Cricetulus griseus: one gene and its partners. The protein of the gene in region 1 interacts with the protein of each later gene in a pairwise test. Links are inferred from orthologs where the notes say so. Each region holds a gene or a part of one and is shown in the gene's direction. Other genes may lie near its edges. The genes, in order: Itsn2, Was, Sos1, Khdrbs1 and Larp6.

The links.
Region 2: the proteins of Itsn2 (region 1) and Was interact in a two-hybrid assay, tested with the Homo sapiens proteins (2 studies listed by BioGRID). The link is inferred for Cricetulus griseus from reciprocal best matches to the Homo sapiens genes ITSN2 and WAS.
Region 3: the proteins of Itsn2 (region 1) and Sos1 interact in a two-hybrid assay, tested with the Homo sapiens proteins (2 studies listed by BioGRID and IntAct). The link is inferred for Cricetulus griseus from reciprocal best matches to the Homo sapiens genes ITSN2 and SOS1.
Region 4: the proteins of Itsn2 (region 1) and Khdrbs1 interact in a two-hybrid assay, tested with the Homo sapiens proteins (2 studies listed by BioGRID and IntAct, with this or other methods). The link is inferred for Cricetulus griseus from reciprocal best matches to the Homo sapiens genes ITSN2 and KHDRBS1.
Region 5: the proteins of Itsn2 (region 1) and Larp6 interact in a two-hybrid assay, tested with the Homo sapiens proteins (2 studies listed by BioGRID, with this or other methods). The link is inferred for Cricetulus griseus from reciprocal best matches to the Homo sapiens genes ITSN2 and LARP6.

The regions. Positions count from the first base shown.
Region 1 is NC_048600.1:15,504,675-15,508,869, forward strand, and holds part of Itsn2 (intersectin-2), read left to right. Parts: intron 1-979; coding exon 980-1,146; intron 1,147-4,195.
Region 2 is NC_048604.1:114,563,427-114,568,374, reverse strand, and holds the start of Was (wiskott-Aldrich syndrome protein), read left to right. Parts: upstream 1-1,822; 5' UTR 1,823-1,871; coding exon 1,872-2,003; intron 2,004-2,323; coding exon 2,324-2,464; intron 2,465-3,208; coding exon 3,209-3,295; intron 3,296-3,402; coding exon 3,403-3,505; intron 3,506-3,614; coding exon 3,615-3,656; intron 3,657-3,747; coding exon 3,748-3,801; intron 3,802-4,948. UniProt on the Homo sapiens protein: Effector protein for Rho-type GTPases that regulates actin filament reorganization via its interaction with the Arp2/3 complex. Important for efficient actin polymerization. Possible regulator of lymphocyte and platelet function.
Region 3 is NC_048600.1:3,662,746-3,666,940, forward strand, and holds part of Sos1 (son of sevenless homolog 1), read left to right. Parts: intron 1-1,265; coding exon 1,266-1,347; intron 1,348-2,244; coding exon 2,245-2,367; intron 2,368-2,580; coding exon 2,581-2,684; intron 2,685-3,803; coding exon 3,804-4,026; intron 4,027-4,195.
Region 4 is NC_048595.1:23,297,835-23,302,029, forward strand, and holds part of Khdrbs1 (KH domain-containing, RNA-binding, signal transduction-associated protein 1), read left to right. Parts: intron 1-275; coding exon 276-422; intron 423-2,861; coding exon 2,862-2,995; intron 2,996-4,162; coding exon 4,163-4,195. UniProt on the Homo sapiens protein: Recruited and tyrosine phosphorylated by several receptor systems, for example the T-cell, leptin and insulin receptors. Once phosphorylated, functions as an adapter protein in signal transduction cascades by binding to SH2 and SH3 domain-containing proteins.
Region 5 is NC_048597.1:172,245,698-172,249,892, forward strand, and holds part of Larp6 (la-related protein 6), read left to right. Parts: intron 1-302; coding exon 303-513; intron 514-3,807; exon of another isoform or gene 3,808-3,975; intron 3,976-4,195. UniProt on the Homo sapiens protein: Regulates the coordinated translation of type I collagen alpha-1 and alpha-2 mRNAs, CO1A1 and CO1A2. Stabilizes mRNAs through high-affinity binding of a stem-loop structure in their 5' UTR.

The DNA.
Region 1 (4,195 bases):
AAAGCAGTAAGGAGGGCTTAGGTGCTCTTACTTACTGTGATTTTCTTACCTTGTAGCTCTACTGTAGTTGTAGTAAATCAACTAGGCAGCATGACTCTCGGAAAATAAGTAGGTTACAAAGTATGTTTTTGATTTAAAAAAAATCAGATTCTGTGTTGACAAATATACATAAAAATAGAAAAATAAAAAGACTTCTAAAACACAGTTTCTGTTTCTTCAAAGTTGTAGTAACTATAGGAACAAGACTCAAAGACAGTATAAAACTACAGACTTATCCCATGATAAGACTCATTTAGCATCTGCTTGTGCCAAGCACTATGCTAGGAGCTAGAGCTTTATGGCAGAACTTGTGTTTCCATAACTGTGTACAGAACAATTAAAGAACAAACATTAGCACATTAGGGTATATTTTACATTAAAGGTTTAAAGATTGTTTTGACTCCATTATCACCAAGTAGCACTCCAATTAAGCCTCAGTTCCATTATTTGTAGAGATACTATATGTTTGTAGTTTAGGATAATTTTTTGTTACCAAAAAAATGATTGACAAAGTGGGCAGGCCTTTAATCTCAGCTCTGGAGAAACAGGGTTAGGTGATTTCTGCTTCCAAGTCAGCCAAGGCTAGCTATATAGTGAGGTGCTATCTCAGACAAAATAAATGAAAGTAAAAGATTGACTATTGCTACTCTTGTTGCCACAGAGCCCACTGTCCCTGAAGTCTAAGCAATAATCTTTCTTTTCTTTAACAAAATAGCAGCAATTGGAAAAAAATGTAAATCCCTTGGTAAACTTTGTTAGCCTTCACCTAGATAATTATTAAGTAGTTGCTTTGGTTCTGTTTTCTACATGAAGACCTTGTTTGAAGTTGTAAGATTCACTGTCTTTTACCATAAACCTCTACATCTTAGAGATTGGCCCATTTTCTTTTGTACATCTGTAGTCTCAATCCAGAACATTTGCCTTTCCTTGTTCACTACAGAGTACATTGCACTTTATCCATACTCAAGTGTAGAGCCTGGAGATTTGACTTTCAATGAAGGTGAAGAAATATTGGTGACCCAGAAAGATGGAGAGTGGTGGACAGGAAGTATTGGAGAGAGAACTGGAATCTTCCCATCCAACTATGTCAAACCTAAAGATCAAGAGGTAGTGTTCTTTTCATTAAAACAAACTCATTCTGTTGTTACCAATCAGGATTCATGCTAATACAGAGATCTACTGTTTTGCTCAGGCTTCATTCATCACAGTGAAACTGCTCAAAGTAGCTCCAATTACATAGGTTTTATTTTGGGGCCCCAGTTAGAAGATAAAGAGCACAGGATTCATAGACTAAAAAGATCATAAGCCATTGATAGGACTGATCCTCATGGTCACTGACAAAAAGGACTGGCTCTAGAGTCCACAGAACTCCTGCCAGCTGACAGGAGTCTGCACCAGCACTGACTCCACTGGTCCACATTCTGGAGTTCCGCTGCTTCCCCACACAACCATTCTGATGTAATGTGGAAACCTGCAGGCTTTCTGTACTGAGGAAAAAAAAAAAAACAAAAAACAAAAAAAAAACTACAGAGGATCAGTGTGTGAGCTATAGCCCAGTGATCTTTACCATATTAGAAATTAAAGCTGAGCCAGGCGTTAGTGGCGCATGTTCAATCCCATAATCCCAGCACTCAGCACTCGGGAGGCAAAGGCAGGCGGATCTCTGTGAATTCAAGGCCAGCCTGGTCTCCAGAGCGAGTGCCAGGATAGGCTCCAAAGCTACACGGAGAAACCCTGTCTTGAAAAACCAAAAAAAAAAAAGAAGAAAAGAAGAAGAAGAAGAAGAAGAGGAGGAGGAGGAGGAGGAAGAAGAAGAGGAGGAGGAGGAGAAATTAAAGCTGAAATCATTTAAGTATTCATTTTAAATAATTAAATTCATTGTGTGAAAACATAAGAAGCTTTTGTGAAAAATAACTCAATTTTCCAAGAAAAAGTAAAAAAAAGAGATATATTATTTCTACAAACCTTTTATGGCTGCTGGTGTAAATGAGGACAGACCCCTTATCTGTCTCTGTAGTAAGTCTGGCTTTACACTTTCAGTGTTTTTCTTTTTATCATTGGGATAGGGTCTTACATAGCTCAGGCTGTCTTCATGTTTGGTACAAGTCCAAGACCTTGAACTCCTTATCTTCATGTATATAAGCCCTCCCAAGTGAAGATATTACACATGTCCATCACCAAGCTCAGCTTCAGTCCTTTTGATGTCTTCTTTTGGTTGAAATATATGAAGAACATACAGCCTCATACAGATATGGGGGTAAAAAAGTATTTTAATATTTGCAGATATCTCTTGGTAGTCTGATTCTACTACATCAAAATTTGATGCAGGGTAAATTGTTATAAATTAGTTGTAGCTCTAGTAATTTAATATCATACTGGTGAATGCTTTTATATTAAAATACTTTCATATTAAAATTCTTTTAATTTTATCCATGTTTACTTAGTATTAATCAACAATAAAAATATTTAATTAATTTAATACTCTAATATATTAATTAATTTGATAAATTAATATATAAACTTGTTAGATAAGTTCATTGTCTATTTGAATAAAATAGTCTGTTTTAAAATAAATTAATTTATATTAAAATTCATTTAATTTTAATGTAAAATATTTTATATTAAAATTCACTAGTCTGTTTTTCATTGTAAATATATCCTTTACTCATGTGAAAAATCGTAACATCATTCACTGTATTTAGAAACTAGTGGCTCACTGAGGTGTACAGATGTTTCTTGTATTGACACACTTTATTATATAATATCAAGACAATAACATCTGTAAATATCATCACTTGTCATAGATGTCTAACAGGCATGACTGATCTGAGGCCCTTAGTAGCACCTGTGGCATCGTATAACTAACCATGAATAAGGCTCAACCCATTAGTAGATGACAGCATCATGTCACGTTGTCGATAGGGTGGATTTTTAGGACTGTATTCTCTCTAAAATGGCCTCAGCTGATTTAAGAATAAAAGTTCTGTGACTTTGATTTGACTTTAAAGGATAAATTAGGGATGGGATCTGGCTCAGGGGTTAAGCCCTTGCCTCCAAGTGTGAGACCTGAGGTTCAATCCCCAGGCCCCAGTACTGCATAAAGAATTAAGTGGGAGAGGGGAGCTTGAATTTTAACACTGGCAAGAAACCCTGTAGTCTGTTTTCCTTGAAGTGGCAAGTATACTTAATTCATTTTGAACAAAATGTTTACTAAACCCTAAGTCTAAATATTTGTCAGTTCTTTGAAGTAAAAATATGGTTTGATGCTGCCAAGTCTTTGGCATTTTATTCACCATTGTAACGGTAGGCACAGCAAAAGGACCGTTTCTAATATTACCATAACAGTTGTTTTCACTCCATAGACTCCTAAGGGCACCCAGGGATCTGTGAACCACATACTGAGAACCAAGCTGCTGGGGCTGAACCTGCCTCTGCCACTTGAAGCAGATGACTCTGAACAGCCTTGCTTGTCAATTCCTCAGATTCATTCTCTGTGAAATAGGGACAATCCTAATTACTTAACAATGTTATTATAAAACTGACTAGCTGAGTATCTGTAACTGTGTAGAGCACACCTGCTGCATACTCACAAATGTTAGCTTTGACTTCAAACCTTCAACGCAGCTGTGTATCCTAATAGAAAAGAAAATCTCCTTAACCCCTCCCCTTTTTACTCAAGCTCCTAATAATAACAAATATGATCAGTTGAATTTATTCTTTGTTATTTTGCAGTACTGGAGATTGAACCCAGGGCCTCACAAATAGCAGGCAAACATTCAACCACTGAGCTACATTCCATTCCCAGTTTATCCTTTAAAGTCAAACAGAAGTTACAGTGGCTACCCACACTAGGAATTTCCTATTCTTAAATGAAATTCAGTCATTTTAGGAAGAATATAGCAAATAAACAAATAAATAAATATTGCTCCCTACTCAGCAAGAGCTACAGATGAGTCAGGGTCCCTTACAGAAAATAAGATTAGCTCATATATGCCTTCACATATCCCTGGGATATATACATTTTATATGCTTAGTGTTCATGCTCACCCCATGCATGAATAGGATAGCCCATGAGCTGGCTAGTTAGTCATCTGAGAGGAGCTTCAATTGAGAAATTGCCCCAGTCAGATCAGCCTGTGGGCAAGCTTGTTGGGCA
Region 2 (4,948 bases), on another chromosome or scaffold:
CACAGAGATCCACCTGCCTCTGCCTCCCGAGTGGTGGGATTAAAGGCGTGCACCTCCACTGCCAGAGTGAGGGTCAGAAGTTTAATGTCATCCTCAGTTACATAGCAAGTTGAAGGTCATCCTAGACTAAGTGAGACTCCAACTCCCTCCCCCACCCCCAAATGAAAGAAGATAAAAAAAAACAGCCCCCAGATGAAAGAAAATAAAAACAAGTTGTAAGGTTCTTGGGGCCCGGAGGTGTCAATAGCTCTGTGTGTTTTGGGCACCATAAACTATTTAGAGAAGAGCTGAGAGGTTGGAGGAAGTTGGAGGAAGTTGGAGGAGCTATCTCAAATGGCAGCCTGAGTTCAGGAGCTGAGACCTTGAACCTGCAGGCATGGAGAGCCAAGAGATTCCCAGGAAGGCCTGAGAACCTCCAATTTAGAGTTTTTACCTACATCTGAGACCTGCTCAGCATTCCAGACTGCTTCCCCACACCTGAGCCCAACCCCTAATTGCCCTGCTTCATCAAAGGGGCAATGGAATTAGAGGACATGAAGGTGCATGGACAAGGTCCTTTCTTTCCTTCCTTCCTTCCTTCCTTCCTTCCTTCCTTCCTTCCTTCCTTTCTTTCTTTTTCGAGACAGGGTTTCTCTGTGTAACAGCCCTAGATGTCCTAGAACTCAGTCTGTAGACCAGGGTGGCCTGGAACTCGGAGATCCTATTCCTCTGCCTGCAGACTGCTGGGATTAAAGCGAGTACCACCACTGCTCAGCAAGATCCTGTATCCAATTCTCATCACCAAAAGTGGCGAAAATCAAACCTTCAAAGGTTACATACTTTTGAAAAGTCCCAACATAATTTAAAAATATCAATCAAGGGCTGGAGAGATGGCTCAGCAGTTAAGACCACTGTCTGCTCTTCCAGAGGACCCAGGTTCAATTCCCAGCATCCACATGGCAACTGGAAACTATCAAGTTCCAGGGGATCTGACACCTTCACAGCAATGCACATTAAAATAAAGTTAAATACATTATAAAAATAAAACAAATATTAAAAAAGCAATCAAGATGTTGTTTTAGAATTTATTTATACTGTGAAGTCCTTCCTTCCAGAATGAAGTTGGCTGGGCATTGGTGGCACACGCCTTTAGTCCCAGCACTTGGGAGGCAAAGGCAGGTAGATCTCAGTGAGTTCGAGGCCAGCCTGGTCTCCAGAGCAAGTGCCAGGATAGGCTCCAAAGCTACACAGAGAAACCCTGTCTCGAAAAACAAAACAAAAAACAAAACAAAACAGAATGAGGTTGATCAGAAGAAAGTAAAGAGGGAGCTACAGGAGGCAAGGGTAAATGATGAGGAAGTAAGCCATGGGCTTATATGTTGTTGGCGATGTTCAAGGCTGGAGATGGGGTCACTGCGCCATTGCAAGGAAAAGCTGTAATGCAATGACCCTTCAGCACCTGGAGCCTTGGACTCAACCCCAGGCCAGACTGGTGCTTTAGGGAAGAAGGAGATGACACAGCCTTGTGACTACTCTGAGCAGCGAACCCTGTAGAAGTGCTGCAGATGGCTTAGCTCTCAGCACCAACTAGAGCGAGATCTGAGCTTGTCAGAAGGAAATGGCAAGAGAGAGACAGAGAGAGGGACAGAGAGGGGGGAAGAGAAAGAAAAGGAAGAAAGGATCCCTGAGCTCATTACAAACATGGTTCTAGCTAGGCAAATGGAGGATGGCCCCAGTCAGTTCTACCGAGGAGGACAGGCCCTCTGGGGGCCCCTGGAGGACTTGTTTCCCTTGTGGTTTATTGCACTTCCTGTTCCCTTGCTCACTGCGGAAGTTCCTCTTCTTACCCTGCACCCAGAGCTTAGCCGAAGAGGACTAGGGCAGAAGGCACCATGAGTGGTGGCCCTGTAGGAGGCAGGCCTGGGGGTCGAGGGGGACCAGCAGTTCAGCAGAACATTCCTTCCAACCTCCTCCAGGACCATGAGAACCAGCGACTCTTTGAGCTGCTTGGCCGAAAATGCTGGGTGAGTTGGGGATCTCCTGGTCCTCCCAGTCTCCCTCCCTTTCCTCGTCTTCCTCTCTACCTCTTCTTCCCCCTTTTGCCTTCTCCTCTTACCCATACATCCCTGCTCCTTCTTCTTCCCATCATCCCTCTTTTCCCTTTCCCCCATCTCCTCTCCCAGCATCCACTTACCACAGTTTGTGGATCCCAGGACTATCTTGATATCTACCTTCCTCCTGGCTATAGCTCTTTCCCCCAAGCTCATGACAGCCTCAAGCAGGCAGGGGCCAGGCCTGGTTACCCGTGCACAGACTCCAGTGACCCCCTGCTGTCCCATCCTAGACACTGGCCACTGCAGTTGTTCAGCTGTACCTGGCACTGCCCCCTGGAGCTGAGCACTGGACCATGGAACACTGCGGGGCTGTGTGCTTCGTGAAGGATAACCCTCAGAAGTCCTACTTCATTCGCCTCTATGGCCTTCAGGTGACCCAATGCCCCACTGGACAGAAAAGCTAGTCTCCAACCTGCAAAACCAGTTTTTGTCCGTAGCCTCAAGCCCTTTTTCCCATCAGAACTCCAGAGCCAAAGACCAATACAAATCCCAAATTGTGTTTTCTCATTGGAGTCCTAGATGACTGAATTCAGAAGGCCCATGCCAGGGTCCTGATCAGCTCCACAAACTCCCCTGAAACACCACATTTCTACCTGAGCCGAAGCCTCAAATCTGTTCTGAATCCAACATGGTGAATATTTGTAGGCCTAGAATCTTTTTTTGTTTGTTTGTTTTGTTTTTTGTTTGTTTTTCGAGACAGGGTTTCTCTGTGTAGCTTTGGAGCCTATCCTGGCACTTGCTCTGGAGACCAGGCTGGCTTAGAACTCACAGAGATCCGCCTGCCTCTGCCTCTCGAGTGCTGGGATTAAAGGCATGAGCCACCAACGCCCGGCCTGTAGGCCTAGAATCTTAAATTCACGGCGTTGAGCCCTCAACTCCTACAAATGGTCCTCAAATCCCAGACCTAGATCTCTCACATCAGTGTCAGCTTCTAAGACTCTCTCCCAATCCCCCATACCAGACACCTAGACCCCAAATTCTGCTATTGAGCTGACGATCTCTAAATAAGACTCTAGGACACCAAATCTGGACACCACACTCCCTGATCAGAAAACAAAAGTCTGCCACCCACAGTGCCTGCATGCCAGCATGTCCCCCACCCTGCCCCTCTCCAGGCTGGTCGGCTACTCTGGGAACAGGAGCTGTACTCACAGCTGGTCTACTTCACTCCCACTCCCTTCTTCCACACCTTTGCTGGAGATGTAAGTGAGCAGCCTAGCCTTGGGCTGCAGTTGGGGTGTGGGGAGGCCAGGAGAAAGCCTGGGGGGTAGGGAGTGCTAGAAGTTTGCTGACCCCAAGGCATATATAGGACTGCCAAGTAGGACTGAACTTTTCGGACGAGAGTGAAGCCCAGGCCTTCAGGGCTTTGGTGCAGGAGAAGATACAAAAAAGGAATCAGAGGCAAAGTGGAGGTAAGGAGAAGCCCTTGGTGGGGGTTGGGGAGATAAGTTAGACATGTGAGGTGAGGCTGGAAGAGCCCCTCTTGTGGTTCTGACTCTCAGTCTACCTATTCAACCACAGAAAGACGCCAGCTACCACCGCCACCAGCACCAACCAATGAAGGTGAGTCCTCCAGTTCATGTAGCTGTTATAAGGAACTAAGCCAGAAACCTGTGGCAACAATGTAACATCTTAACTTCTTCCATTTTCCCAGAGAGAAGAGGAGGCCTCCCACCTCTGCCCCCACATCCAGGCGGAGACCAGGGTGGTGAGTGGTGGTTTTCTTTCTTTTTTTTCTAGACAGGGTTTCTCTGTGTAGCTTTGGAGTCTATCCTGGTACTCCCTCTGGAGACCAGGCTGGCCTCCAACGAGTGGTGCTTTTCATGTCCCTGGAGAGACGGTGAGGAGTTAGATGAATGAATAGTTGCATGAATGCCTAAATTTGTAAAGAGGTGGATGGCTGGCTAGGTGGATGGGTGGATGAGTGGATAGCCGAGCATGTTGATGGATTGGCAGCAGATAGAGGAGTAAATTGGAAGATGAACTGATGATAGATTATAGATAAATAAGTGAGTGGGTATTTGGGTAAATGGGTGAATACTTACTTGTATTCAAGTAATGAATGGATGGTCCAGTGAATTAATGAATGGGTATGTAAATGGATAGTGAAAAAAAGAAATGAGAGGTAGTGAGCTGGCTCAGCACTTGTCACTGAACCTGGAGACCTGAGTCCTATCCCCAGAATCCACACAAAGATAGAAGAGAACCTACTCTTTAAAATTGTCTTCTAGGCTGGGCGTTGGTGGCGCACGCCCTTAACCCCAGCACTTGAGAGGCAGAGGCAGGCGGATCTCTGTGAGTTCGAGGCCAGCCTGGTCTCCAGAGCGAGTGCCAGGATAGGCTCCAAAGCTACACAGAGAAACCCTGTCTCGAAAAGCCAAAAAAAATATATAAAATAAAATTAAAAATTAAAAAAATAGGGCTGGAGAGATGGCTCAGCCGTTAAAGGCTAGGCTCACAACCCAAAATATAAGAGTTTGGTTCCCAGCACCCACAGCTGTCTCTCCAGCCACCAAAAAGAAAAAAAATTAAAAAAAAATAAAGTTGTCTTCCAACCTCCACAATGTGCTATGCATGCATGCACATCCACACACATTTATATCATATACCCCATATACAAAATTAAATCACAAAAATGAGATTAAAGAATGTAATATTCTACCCAGGGAAGATTAAATAATCAAACAAATAAATAACTTAATAAGCCATTTAGCCTACCAGCCAGAGAATGAATGAGTCACTACCTGAATGATAAGCATATATGAATCAGTGACTGAATAATTTTGGGGACCCATCCACCTCTTCATAGGCCTTGTCAAGACTTCTGTCATTCATTTCCTCCATGACCATCAAGC
Region 3 (4,195 bases), about 12 Mb from region 1:
GCCTCTGCCTCTGCCTCTGCCTCTGCCTCTGCCTCTGCCTCTGCCTCTGCCTCTGCCATCACACCTAGAGAGTGAATGTTGAGAAAGGGCCTTTGCCTTCTTTATGCCCAGAACAGTGGCCTGCATCTTTACCATTCTCCTAACCTGGGAGAGTGCTATCAAGGAGAGATTGGAGGAGGCAAGCCTAGGAGGGTGACGAGACTCGATGACCTCCATTCTACCCCATGGAGATGTGCATGCACAGTGGACCTTTGAAGAAGAGGTTGCAGCCTCCTGCTATTACGACTGAACTTTGAACTTTTATTGTAACTACTTCAAATGACAGGCTTAGAAAGAGTAAAAACAAGATCTCTGTTCACACATGTTCATGAGTGTGGCACAAGCAGTGTGTGTGTGTGTGTGTGTGTGTGTGTGTGTGTGTGTGAGTGGACAGCTTTTGGGATGCGATGACCCCAAGCTTGTATGGCAAAGGACGTTTACCTACTGAGCCATCTCGTGTCTTTTTTATAGCTTAGAGGGGTTTGACCCTTTTTTAGCAGTTAAAAATAAGGCCTCTGGCAATCAAAACCATTAACTACTTAGCTAACCCTACTACTCTGTAAGATTCTGTTTCTAGTTCTTTGCTCTGTTAACATGATTTACCGGAAGTTAGGAAACATAGTTAATTAAAGTGATGTCAGGAAATGGACAGGCTATTGTTACTGCTATCTCTACTAGGTAGGTGACCCAACAGGTGACACATTGAGATCCTAGCAGCAAAAGGGAACCTGGTTCAAGTCCCTGTCCTTGCTTTTTTCCATTGCACATTCCTTTGCCAATGATAAATTTGAGACAGGAAAAGAAATCAGCTGATCATATTTTACAATCAGTGTTTTGTTTTGTTTTGTTTTTGTTTTTCTAAAGCCACTGCTTTAGGAGGCACCAAAGGTATCAATACATTAAAGTTCAAAGCCATATATGGGTAAAACATGTGGGCATTTTTTGTTTGTTTGTTTTGCTTTGATTTTGTTTTTTTCAAGAAAGGGTTTCTCTGTGTAGCTTTGGAGCCTGTCCTGCAACTCACTCTGTAGATCAGGCTGTCATCACAGCCACAGAAATCCTCTTGCCTCTGCCTCCTGAATGCTGGGATTAAAGGCGTACGCCACCAACACCTCGCAATATCTGGGCGCTTTTGAGACTGAGTCTTTGATCTCTTTTGAAACTGAAAATAATAGTTTTAATCATTGTTTACCTGAGACTTTAATACTGTTCCTTTTCCTTTTCAGATCCCAATTTTGTTCGGACATTTCTTACAACATACAGATCCTTTTGCAAACCTCAAGAACTACTGAATCTTATAATAGAACGGTCTGTCCATTTTATATGTCTGAATTCTTTGATTTGGAAAGGATTAAGTTACATATTTCCTAAAAATGTTGCAATAAGTGTAACTGTAGTTGAGTTTAAGATAAAACTACTACTGGGTTTACAAAACCATGCTAATTTTGATTATTTAAATAGATTTCTCTCTCTCTCTTTTTTTTCTCATTTATTTAGTATTTAAAATTACAACTTTTCAGGGTTTGGGCTACACTGGGATTGAGCCATGGGCTTTTGGTTCAATCTAAGCAGTATTCCCAGCTCAAATTTAAAGAACTAAATAATATATAAATATGTATGATTTAGACTCTAGGCTAAACATAAGCCTATAATCCAAGAATTTGGGAGGTAGAGGCAACAGAATCAGAGTTCATGGTTATCTTTGACTCTACATAGGGAGTGCAAGGCTACCCTGAACTACGTGAAACCACACCTTTAAAATAATGACACACTAGAAATTCAGATTTTAATGCTTCACAAGTTCTAAACAAATTTTCAAATATACTACATATTGAATAAAAATGAATCTTGTCAGTGAGCAAATGCTTTTATCAAGGAAAATGTTTTTCATCTATCCAAAGGGCAATCAAGTTTCAAGCACTAGTTACCCTTAGAGTAATCTACAGACTAAAAATTAACATTAGTCCCATTTGTTTTAGACTTTATATGTGTTGTTATTTTGCTTCTAGTTAGTTTTAACTCTGTTGGCAATATTAACTTCTTTTTAAAAAAATGTAATCAGCCTTTACATTATAAAAGCCTTGTATATCTGTAGTAATTTTTATAGTAGTCTCTTGATTATACTGATAAGTATAAATAAAAGTTTGTGAATCTGAATTTGATACAATATTTTCATTAATTTTTTTTTTTTCTGTTTCATGGTAGATTTGAAATTCCGGAGCCTGAGCCAACAGAAGCTGATCGAATAGCTCTAGAAAATGGAGATCAGCCACTGAGTGCAGAGCTGAAGAGGTTTAGAAAGGAGTACATTCAGCCTGTCCAGCTGCGGTGAGTAGTGAGGGCGTGGCCTCATAGAAACCACAGCTTCTCAATGTGCATTTAAAGTCCTAAGTCAGGTGAAGGAGGCAGACCAAGTGGGTTAGTTAAGAGTCTTCTCTGAGTTATCAGCTTTAGTAGATTGTTTATTGGTAAGGGCTGCTCTTGTTTCATGTGTACACTCAGTGTAAGACCCCATGTAATCCAGTTGTGTTAATGCCACAGAGTGTTAAATGTGTGTCGGCACTGGGTGGAGCACCATTTTTATGACTTTGAAAGAGATGCAGACCTTTTACAAAGAATGGAGGAATTTATTGGAACTGTAAGAGGTATGTTTCTAATTTCCTACTTGCATATGTGATAAAATTACCAATATGATTACCCTCAATTGATACATTATAGCTCATTTGAAAATGTTAAACTTTCTCATCAAACATCACTTTGGCTGGGTATGGTGGTGCACACCTTTGATCCCAGCACTGAGGAGGCAGAGGCAGGTGGATCTCTGTGTGTTTCAGGACAGCCAGGACTACAGTAGTGATACTAGGTCTGAAAAAACAAAACAATAACAAAAAACCATTATTGAGACTTGTAAATTGCTCAGCAGTGATCCTGCTGACTCAGTATACTTTGTATCTGTTTTAGAACTGGGTCTTTTAGGTGTCAGTTTAAGCTAGACCACTTAATTGAAACTATGTGCTACCTACAGTAGATGGTGGAATGTTTTTTAACCATTGTAGCACCACTGATAAAGGTATATGATTAGGTAAATGGAACAAGTAGCATATTACACTGACAGACTACTACTACCTACCATCACTACTAGCCAGATACATAATTTTGGTTCTTTAGACTTCAGTTTATTCATAAGAAATTAGGGTTGATTATCACAAAGTTTCCTTTACTTTAAAAATTCTGTGACTGTGTGACTTTAAGGGTGCCCTAGACAAACTTGGTTTTATAGCCATTGTTCAGTCTAAAGGAAAATCAGAAAATAAAGGATTAAATAGATTACTTTCCTGTACAGTACAAAAGACAGCCACATCAAATAAGACTAATATGATCGATCAGTCCTCATAAATGGGTTATAAAATACAATATTAATTAGACTTGTGAATGTGTGTAATTTATTAATCTTTGTATGGAATATACCTTGTATGGAAGAATTATAAAAAATAGTATTTTGAACTAAGGTTCAAAGTGTTGGAGGTGAAAAATCAAATTACCTTTTACATTCATTTAGGAAAGGTCTAGATACATGCCAAATTATTAACAATGGTTACCTATCTGGAGAAGGATGAGAAGATGGGGGAGGGGAACTCTTAGTATTTACTTTGCACATTTGACTTTATAGCAATGATTTATTCGTGTATCACTTGTATTACTTTAAACATATTTAAAAATAAAGTATTAAAGAGTATTTAAATGTTTGTTAAAATGTATTTCAGGTAAAGCAATGAAAAAATGGGTCGAATCCATCACTAAGATAATCCAAAGGAAAAAAATTGCAAGAGACAATGGCCCAGGTCCTAATATTACATTTCAGAGCTCACCTCCCACAGTTGAGTGGCACATAAGCAGACCTGGGCACATAGAGACTTTTGACTTGCTCACCTTACACCCAATAGAAATTGCTCGGCAACTCACTTTGCTTGAATCAGATCTATACCGGTATGTTGTTCAACATTCAAGCTGAGAAGTTATTTCAAGAGTTCATCTTAAAAATGGAAGACATTTTCTGCCTTTTAGGGTTGTCTTGAGATGTCAATGAGACAGTAATATGATATATTTGTAGCACTAAGGCAAGCAAGCAGTTCTGGTCCATTTGCCCCCTTGATCA
Region 4 (4,195 bases), on another chromosome or scaffold:
AACAAAACTATTATCTGAGTAGATTCTAAAATTAAGCTTTAGCTTGTTGTTCTTCAGATTTACTGCATTGAATGCTCCAATGTTTAAAGAAACAGTTAACCAAGTATAGTTTTAGCAGGTAATGTAAGTTCCAGTTTCTAGGACTTGCTTTACTTCTTTCTTAGGAGTTCAGGTGTTTTACATATTAAATTATTTCTGTCTCCCTTTGGCCTAGAGATAAAGGTGTTTTCTTTTAGTCTGTATATGATTTGATATTTCTTTGCATTTTTCCATAGGAGGAAGAACTTCGAAAGGGTGGAGACCCTAAATATGCCCATTTAAATATGGATCTCCACGTCTTCATTGAAGTCTTTGGACCCCCTTGTGAAGCTTATGCTCTTATGGCCCATGCTATGGAGGAAGTCAAGAAATTTCTAGTACCAGTAAGGAAATGCATATTCTTTATTTTCTGAGCAAGGAAGAAGCTAGGATCATACTGTTGAGAAGGCCAGGGTTCTTGACCTAGGGTCTGTACTTTTGTTCATCTTACTGAAGTTTTCCCACTACTTACACCTCATTCTCAAAGCACTGTACTCCAAAGCATACTTGTTTAATAGGACTTCATTAATACGTACTGGTATTTGTTGTCAATATTTTGGGTCCCTGAGGTGTTAACAATCTGTTTAACAAAGATTTAATAAGGGCTTCATTCAGTTCAGTAGGAAAATGATTTAAGGTAAATCTGCACTTTTATGTGCTATATTCTTGAATCTAGAGTTGATAACAGGAAGCTTAGAGCATCTAGTATTCTCATGAGATACACTGAAGGGTTTTTATGGTGGAGTTTTTATTCAAAGTCTGATTTAAAAGAGGTATATGTTACACACATGACTATTGATGGTATGTAATTTTTCTTTAATTGTTTGAGTCAGGGTCTCACTATGTATCCCTCTGCCTGGCCTGGAACTAACTTACTTTGTAGTCTAGGCTGGTCTCCAGCTTGCAGAGATCTACCTGCCTCTGCCTACCAAGTGCTGGGATTAAAGATATGTTCCACCATACCTAGAAAATGGTGTATAATAGTGTCACCTGATTATGGTAGAAGTTTGGGAATTCCCTGCCCGCCCGATTTTGGGATTTTTCCAATATATAATAAGGTATCTTGAGGATGGGACTCTAGTGTAAACAAAACACTGGTTTTTGTTTGTTTTGTTGAGAACCTCTCATGTTGCCCAGCCTGGCCTTGAGTTTGCTATGTAGCTGAGGGTACCCTTGAATTCACTGGTCTTCCATGCCCCTCATTTGCTATTATTAATAGCATGCACTGCCACACCTGATTTTTGTGTGTTGTTAGGGATCCAACCCAAGGCTTGTTCGTGTATGTTAGGGATGCACTCCACCAACTGAACTCTGTCTCCAGGTCTCCCAAATTTATTTATATTTACTAAATACTTTATACTAGACTGAAATTTCTTTTTTGTTTTGTTTTGGAGGCAGGGTTTCTCTGTGTAGCTTTGGAGCCTGTTCTGGCACTTGCTGTGTAGACCAGGTTGGCCTTGAACTCACAGAGATCCGCCTACATTGCCACCACCGCCTGACCTAAAATTTATCCTAATTGACAAATGTGACAGTAGAAGATACCTGAACAGTGAGCAGACATTGGTACTTGACCCTATCTACTCTTAAGTAGCAATGGTGTATAAGGTCAAGGAAAGTAGAGAGTTGCAAAAGACATTGCTCTACTATTTTATTTATTTATTTATTTATTTATTTATTTATTTATTTATTATGTATTTGGTTTCCGGCACAGGGTTTCTCTGTATAGCTCTGGCTGTCCTGGAACTCACTATGTAGATTACGCTGGCCTCAAACTCACAGGTCTGCCTGCCTCTGCCTCCCAAGTACTGGGATTAATGATATGTGCCACCACATTTGGCTTTTCTTGGGTAACCTTTAATTCCACTTTTCCAAGCCATGAGCTCCTTTGTTCACCCCAAACGTTAAGTAGTGTTAAATAGTAGTAGATGAATAACAAAATTGTGCTTGGGTCTAAAGATACAAAATGGCTCTTGAGGCTGGGGAGATAAACTCCATTCATAAAATACTTTCGATCAGTTTTACAAGACTGGGTTGGTTCTCCCAGCACCAACAAACATAAAAGTTTGGCATGGTAGTGCATACCTTTAGTCACATTGCTGGGGATACAGGAAGATCTGTGGGGCTTGCTGTATAGACAGTCTAGCCCAGTGAGTGGCAGCATTAGGGATTTTACTCAGGGCTTTGTATGTACTCTAGGCATACCTTCTACCGCTTAGCTATACCTTTAATATGTCTTGTAAGGGTCAGAGTTCCCAATTATACTGTGAGGAGATCTTGATGTGTCCCCTCATTTTGACAGAGAGAGCTTCATTAATGGTAGTGGCTTCTGTTATTCTAGGAAAAGTAACTTTAAAAATAATGTATTTGTGCAAATATTCCTGGCTATAGCTTATTTGGCTGGACTTGAGAAAGTTTTGTCTATAGAGAGAAGAGTGATGGGGAGAGCTAAGCAGGTACTTAACTATTTTATGAAGAACCTCCTCTATTAGTAAGGGCTGTCAAGACTTTCCTCAAAGAGGTGACAGTATAATATTGTTTGTTTTTGTTTTGAAACAGGGTTTCTCTGTGTAGCTCTGGCTGTCCTGGAACTCACTTTGTAGACCAGGCTGGTCCGGAACTCACAGAGATACGCCTGCCTTTGTCTCTGCCTCCTGAGTGAGTGTTGGGATTTAAGGCATGCACCACTATTCCCAGCTTCAAGGCTGTTCTTAAGCTCCAAGGCTCATGTGAGCCACATGATTTTTAGGAGATGTTACACATTCTTTGTTATCTTTAATTCCCAGGATATGATGGATGATATCTGCCAGGAGCAATTTCTAGAATTGTCCTACTTGAATGGAGTTCCTGAACCCTCTCGTGGTCGTGGGGTACCAGTGAGAGGAAGAGGAGCTGCCCCTCCTCCTCCACCTGTTCCCAGGTAAAAAAAAAAAAAAAGTTGAAAAGGAAATATAAATTAGACTGCTGATAGGCTTCTTACCTCTAGCTCAGGAGGAGTCATGGTTTAAATGGTATGTCAAGTGTAGAATTCTAGATCTTAGCAGTTTGTCCATAGACAAGTGTACAGTCCTACTCAAACTTTGGGGCTTCTAACTTTGGACAGTCCTAGCATTAAAAAAATTTTTTTATTGTATTTATTTAGTTGTGAGCTTTGGTGGGGGATATATATATGGGTGTGGAGGTTAGTCCTATCCTGTGGGTCTTAGGGATTGAACTCAGGTTGTCAGGCTTAACCAGCTGTTTGTTTACCCACTAAGCCATCTCACTGGCCCCCTAGTTGTCTTTTTCAATATGTAGCCCTGACTGACCCGGCGCTTGCTATTTTATAAACCAGTTTTCTAACTCTGAAGTGCTGTGACTAAAGTCTTAAGTCACCAAACCTGACTATCTAGTATGACTTTGGAATTTTACCTTTTCAGTTTAAAATTTATGCAATGTTCAGACAATTTAGAATTGTCTTGAGGTGGTATGATCCACTGTTGAGCCCAGAGAATCTTCTAGTTTAGGTACTCTTATGTGTGCATTATTCTGTGTTTTAATGTCTATTTTAGGGTTGGATATATGCCTCATTGGTAGAGAATGCTTGCCTAGCATGTGAAAATTTCTGGGTTTGATCCCTAACACTTTACAAACAGGGTATGGTGACACACAGTTGTAATTCCAGCACTTGGGAAGTAAAGGCTAGAAGTGAAAAGTCATCTTCAGCTACATAGTGAGTTCAAGACCATACTGGGTAAATATGAACCCTGTCTCAAAAACAAAGGGAAAGGTTAAAAAAAGGGTGGGGGGGCCAATCGAGAGATACAGGTTCTGACTTAACCAAGAGTCTACCTTTAAGAAATTTAAATTAGCTGGGTGTTGTGGCAATATACCTTTAATCCCAACACTCTAGCATTGGCAGTTGGATTTGTATGAGTTCTAGGCTAGCCAGAGCAACTCAGGCAGACATTGTCTCAAATAAGTGAGCAAGTAGGTAAAAAATATAAAATCTTTGTAGCTCCAGTATTTATGAACAACCCTGAGCATGAATATGATTTAGTTATTTAAAACTCAAATTAATATATTATTTATTTATTTATTTTTGTAGGGGTCGTGGTGTTGGACCACCTCGAGGAGCTTT
Region 5 (4,195 bases), on another chromosome or scaffold:
AAGAGATGGAGCAGGAACCTGTCATGGTTCTGGGGAAGAAGCTGTGTCACCTTGATCTCCACCTGAGCAGCTGTTTCCTGGCTTTTATCTGCACCCAAGTTCCTGGCTTTCATGAGGACCTCATATGCACGGGATTGAGGGCCATCCTACTCTACAATGTGCTCCCCCTTACATTAACATCCACAGTGACTGACTCCAGATAAGGCCAAATTCTGGATCCCTGGGGCCTGAGGCTTCAATCTGTGAATTTGGAGGGTGGCAGTTCAACGCATAACTAACTCGCTGTCTCCCTCTGACCTCAGCAGTGCCACGACAAGTGGAGGTGAGAATGAGCGTGAGGAACTGGAGCCGGAGTGGAAGCCCCCGGATGAGGAGCTCATCAGGAAGCTGGTGGATCAGATTGAGTTCTACTTTTCGGATGAGAACCTGGAGAAGGATGCCTTCCTACTCAAGCACGTGCGGAGGAACAAGCTGGGCTACGTGAGCGTCAAGCTGCTCACCTCCTTCAAAAAGGTGAGGCAGGTGTCCCAGAGGCTGCTCATAGCATTTCAGGGGTGTGGGCCTTGTGGTGTTAAACATTTTGATATTTTGTTTTGTTTTACACCCCACCACCCACCCCCTGCCAAGGCCCTCCTGCCCAGCAAATTTTTAATTAAATATGATGCCTGAAAAAGAAAAATTATCAAGAGAAGGAATTCAGTGGTGATAGGTCCTAACTCAGGCGTTAAAGTGTTTACCATACAAGCATGGGGACCTGAATTTGATCCCCAGAATATACATGAAAAAGCCAAGCTTGGTTCCATGCCTGTAATTCCAGAGCTGGGAAGGTAGCAAAAGATCTGTGGGACTAAAGAGCAAGCCAGCTTAGCCTACTGGGTGGGCTCTATGCCAATGAGAGACTCTGTCTTGAATATAGATAGATAGATAGATAGATAGATAGATAGATAGATAGATAGATAGAGATATGGATAGATCCTGAGAGGAATGACACCCAGGACTGACATCTGGTTCCGATACACACACACACACACACACACACACACACACACACACACACACACACACACACACACACACACACACACGAGCATTATGAGAGCATTCCTGAGAACATACTTGCATGCTATGTAAAGTGTTCTGAGTGCTAGGATAGATCTCAGCTGGTGGTTAGTAAGAAATGCTGTGACTTCCTCAGTAATGTTTGGGTCTTCTTGCCAGGCACACGGATGCCCAGAGGATGCTACACCAGAACAAGGGGTTCTGGAGACCTTGAGAGATGCCTGTCAGTCTAGAATTGCATGACACCCACTCATGCTTTCCACTTGAGGAGCTGAGTCAGTATGGGATGGGAGAGAACACACAGAACTCAGTGAGAAAATCCTCCTCCGTGACTCCAGCATGCTCCGCTCTGTGTGATACCAAAGGGAACTCTGTGTACCAGAGTGATAGATGCTGAGGGGGCACTGGCAGCCACACAGGAGACTGCCCACCCCTGCTGTGGACAGATGCAGAACTTGGGCCCTAGACTCCGTGCTCTCAGAGGACTGACTAACCAGTTGGAATAATGACTCTGTATCTCCCTTGGGAGAAGTGTTTTTACTAGAATGGGAAAGCACCATGCAGCTTGTTGCATAATGGCTTATGTAAGGAGTGGGTCCCCAGAAGGAGTGGTCCTGGCCTAGATGCCTGTGCACTTTTTTTGTACTGGAGGAAAGCTCAACATCTTGCGGCTTGTCTCTGTCTGGTTCCCTGGTATGCTCTGCCTTCTTCATGGGCTCTTTTTCTTTTATTCATCTAATACCAAATGTATTATTCTTTGTATTTGATGAGTGTTGTGTTAAGTGCAAGAGGTACAAAATGAATATGGTATTCTGTCTTTCCTTGAGAGACTTACAGTCCAACAGAAGACAAGAGATCCATGAAATGCTATGGGATAACCACAGACAAACTGATGGAAGACATAAAGATATTTGGGGACTAGCTGATCAGAGCAATGAACTCTATCTAGAAAACTGAGATGTATTCTTGGAGTGATGGCGTTGGGATGTGGTCTTGGGGGATGAATAGGAATTGCAAGGTCCCAATGGGAAGGAATGCTTCATGTTCAGACAACAAGATCTGCCATGAAAAATACTTCCAGGGTTGGGGACTTCTGAATGAAAAAGCCAGTGGGATCCTCCCCAAGGGCTTCAAGAGCCACCCTGGTTTTCTCTTCTTTCCTAGCTGCCACTTACAGATACACTCAGGAGCACTCTCTCTTTAAAGCCAGCTGCAAGGTGGACAATTCACACACCCCCAGCTCACACTCCCCAGTTCACACCCCCGCAAGTCAGAGCACAGACTTTTTCCTTCTAGAAAGATTTCCCGCCAGTCAGAGGAACGTGTCACAGGAAAGCAACAAATGCAAGGAGATTACAAAGCGTTTGTTCCTTTCCTCATCACTGTGACAAAATACCTGACAAATGTGGCATATGGCTTTAGGTCAGTGTTGAAGGTGCACCCCATCCTGTCAAGTAAGGCACAGCAGCAGCAGTGTGAGGCGGCTGGTGGCATGGCACCCACAGACAGGAAGCAGAGCAGAGGAGTGCTGCTGTTCATCTTGCTCTCTCTCTTTTGTTCAGTCAGGGACCTGGCCCTGAGATCAGACTACCCATGTTTAGGGTTCATCTTGCCTCTACAGGTAAACCTTATGGAACCCTCCTCACAGACACATCCAGAGGCTTGTGTCCATAGAGATTCTCAATCCAATCAGGTTGACGATGATGGGCAACCATCACACAGAGTTTCTGACAGTCTGACAGAGTTCTAGAGTCTGCCCAAGGCCAAACTTCTTTCTTTAAAAAAAAAAAAAAACGTGTGTGTGTGTGTGTGTGTGTGTGTGTGTGTGTGTGTGTGTGTGTGTGTGTTAGTGAATGCATGTGTACCATGTGTATGCAGTACCCTCAGAGTCCAGAGGAGGACATCAGGTCTTCTGTAACTACAGTTATAGACCGTTGGGAGCCATCGTGTGGGTGCTGGGAATTGAATCCAAGTCCTCTACAAGAGCAGCCAGTGCTCTTTACTGCTGAGCCATCTCTCCAGCCCCCTGGTTTCCATTCTGATGTGATATTGGAAACTCGTAAAGCATCACAGACATGGACCTGAGATGCCCTTAGAGTAAGCAAGGTTTCCCAGGGGACCTGGCTCTTGCCTCTGTGTGTGCCCTCGTCCTCTACAGCTCTCCTCTCTGGTAGGACATGGTCCTCCCTAGTGCTCACCCTCCCTGGTAAGGCAGCACATGCTTCCCTGCTCTGACTTGACTTTGAGCCTAGGAGGGATTTCTTCGCCTCTCCTGCATGCTCCCTTCCCAGCTGTTTTCACAGATGGCTCCATCATGCTGGCCCTTGGCTTTCCTACAACCTTGCAGTCATCTTCATCCATCTGAACCCCTTCTGGATTTCTGATTGACTAAACGTTCACTAGAAAAACCCAGGCCTGCTTCTCTGACTCATAGTGATCCACCCAAGGACTCTTTGTAGGTGACCTAGGGTTTCTTCATGCTAATAATGAGAGGCCACAGGCCACAGTGAACAGTGTACATGCTCCAGCAGTGTGTCAGTCAGGACTGGGGCTCTGTGGAGGTTTCCCTGGCCTGTCCAAAAAGAGAGGCTTCTTTTCTTGCTTTCTGTGCCTTCTCTGTTTGAGTCCCAGGGGCAAGGGGAATTCCTGGTTCCTCTGCAGATCAGCCTCCTGGACCTGGCCTTGGAGGATTCTGGGTGATTTCCCCATCCAGGCTCAGGTTACCCACCCCACCCACATCCTACCCTTCTCTGGGATGACTCATGGCCCTGGCAGGCCCTTCACTGGAAGTGGGCTCCGCAAAATTGCCGTTTTATGAAATAAATATAGCTTTTCATATACTGCAGCATCAGTACACAAGGTTTCCATCATGGGAAGGAAGGGAGGAGTTGTTTCATCAGTTCTCAAGAGGCCCAGGTCAGTGTAATTCCATGTTCTGGTGTCTGTCCCCGTTACTCTTGGGGGAGGTTACAGCGGAACAGAGAAGATCTTTTAGAGGCTTCTCTTCATCAACTGTCAGTCACAGCTTCGGGAGACTGTCAGACCCTCCAAATCCTCTCAAAGTAGCAGCACATTCAGTGGTGACTGCCTCAGTCCCAGCGTTTTGGAGGCCTGGATTGGAGGGCTTAAGAGTTTG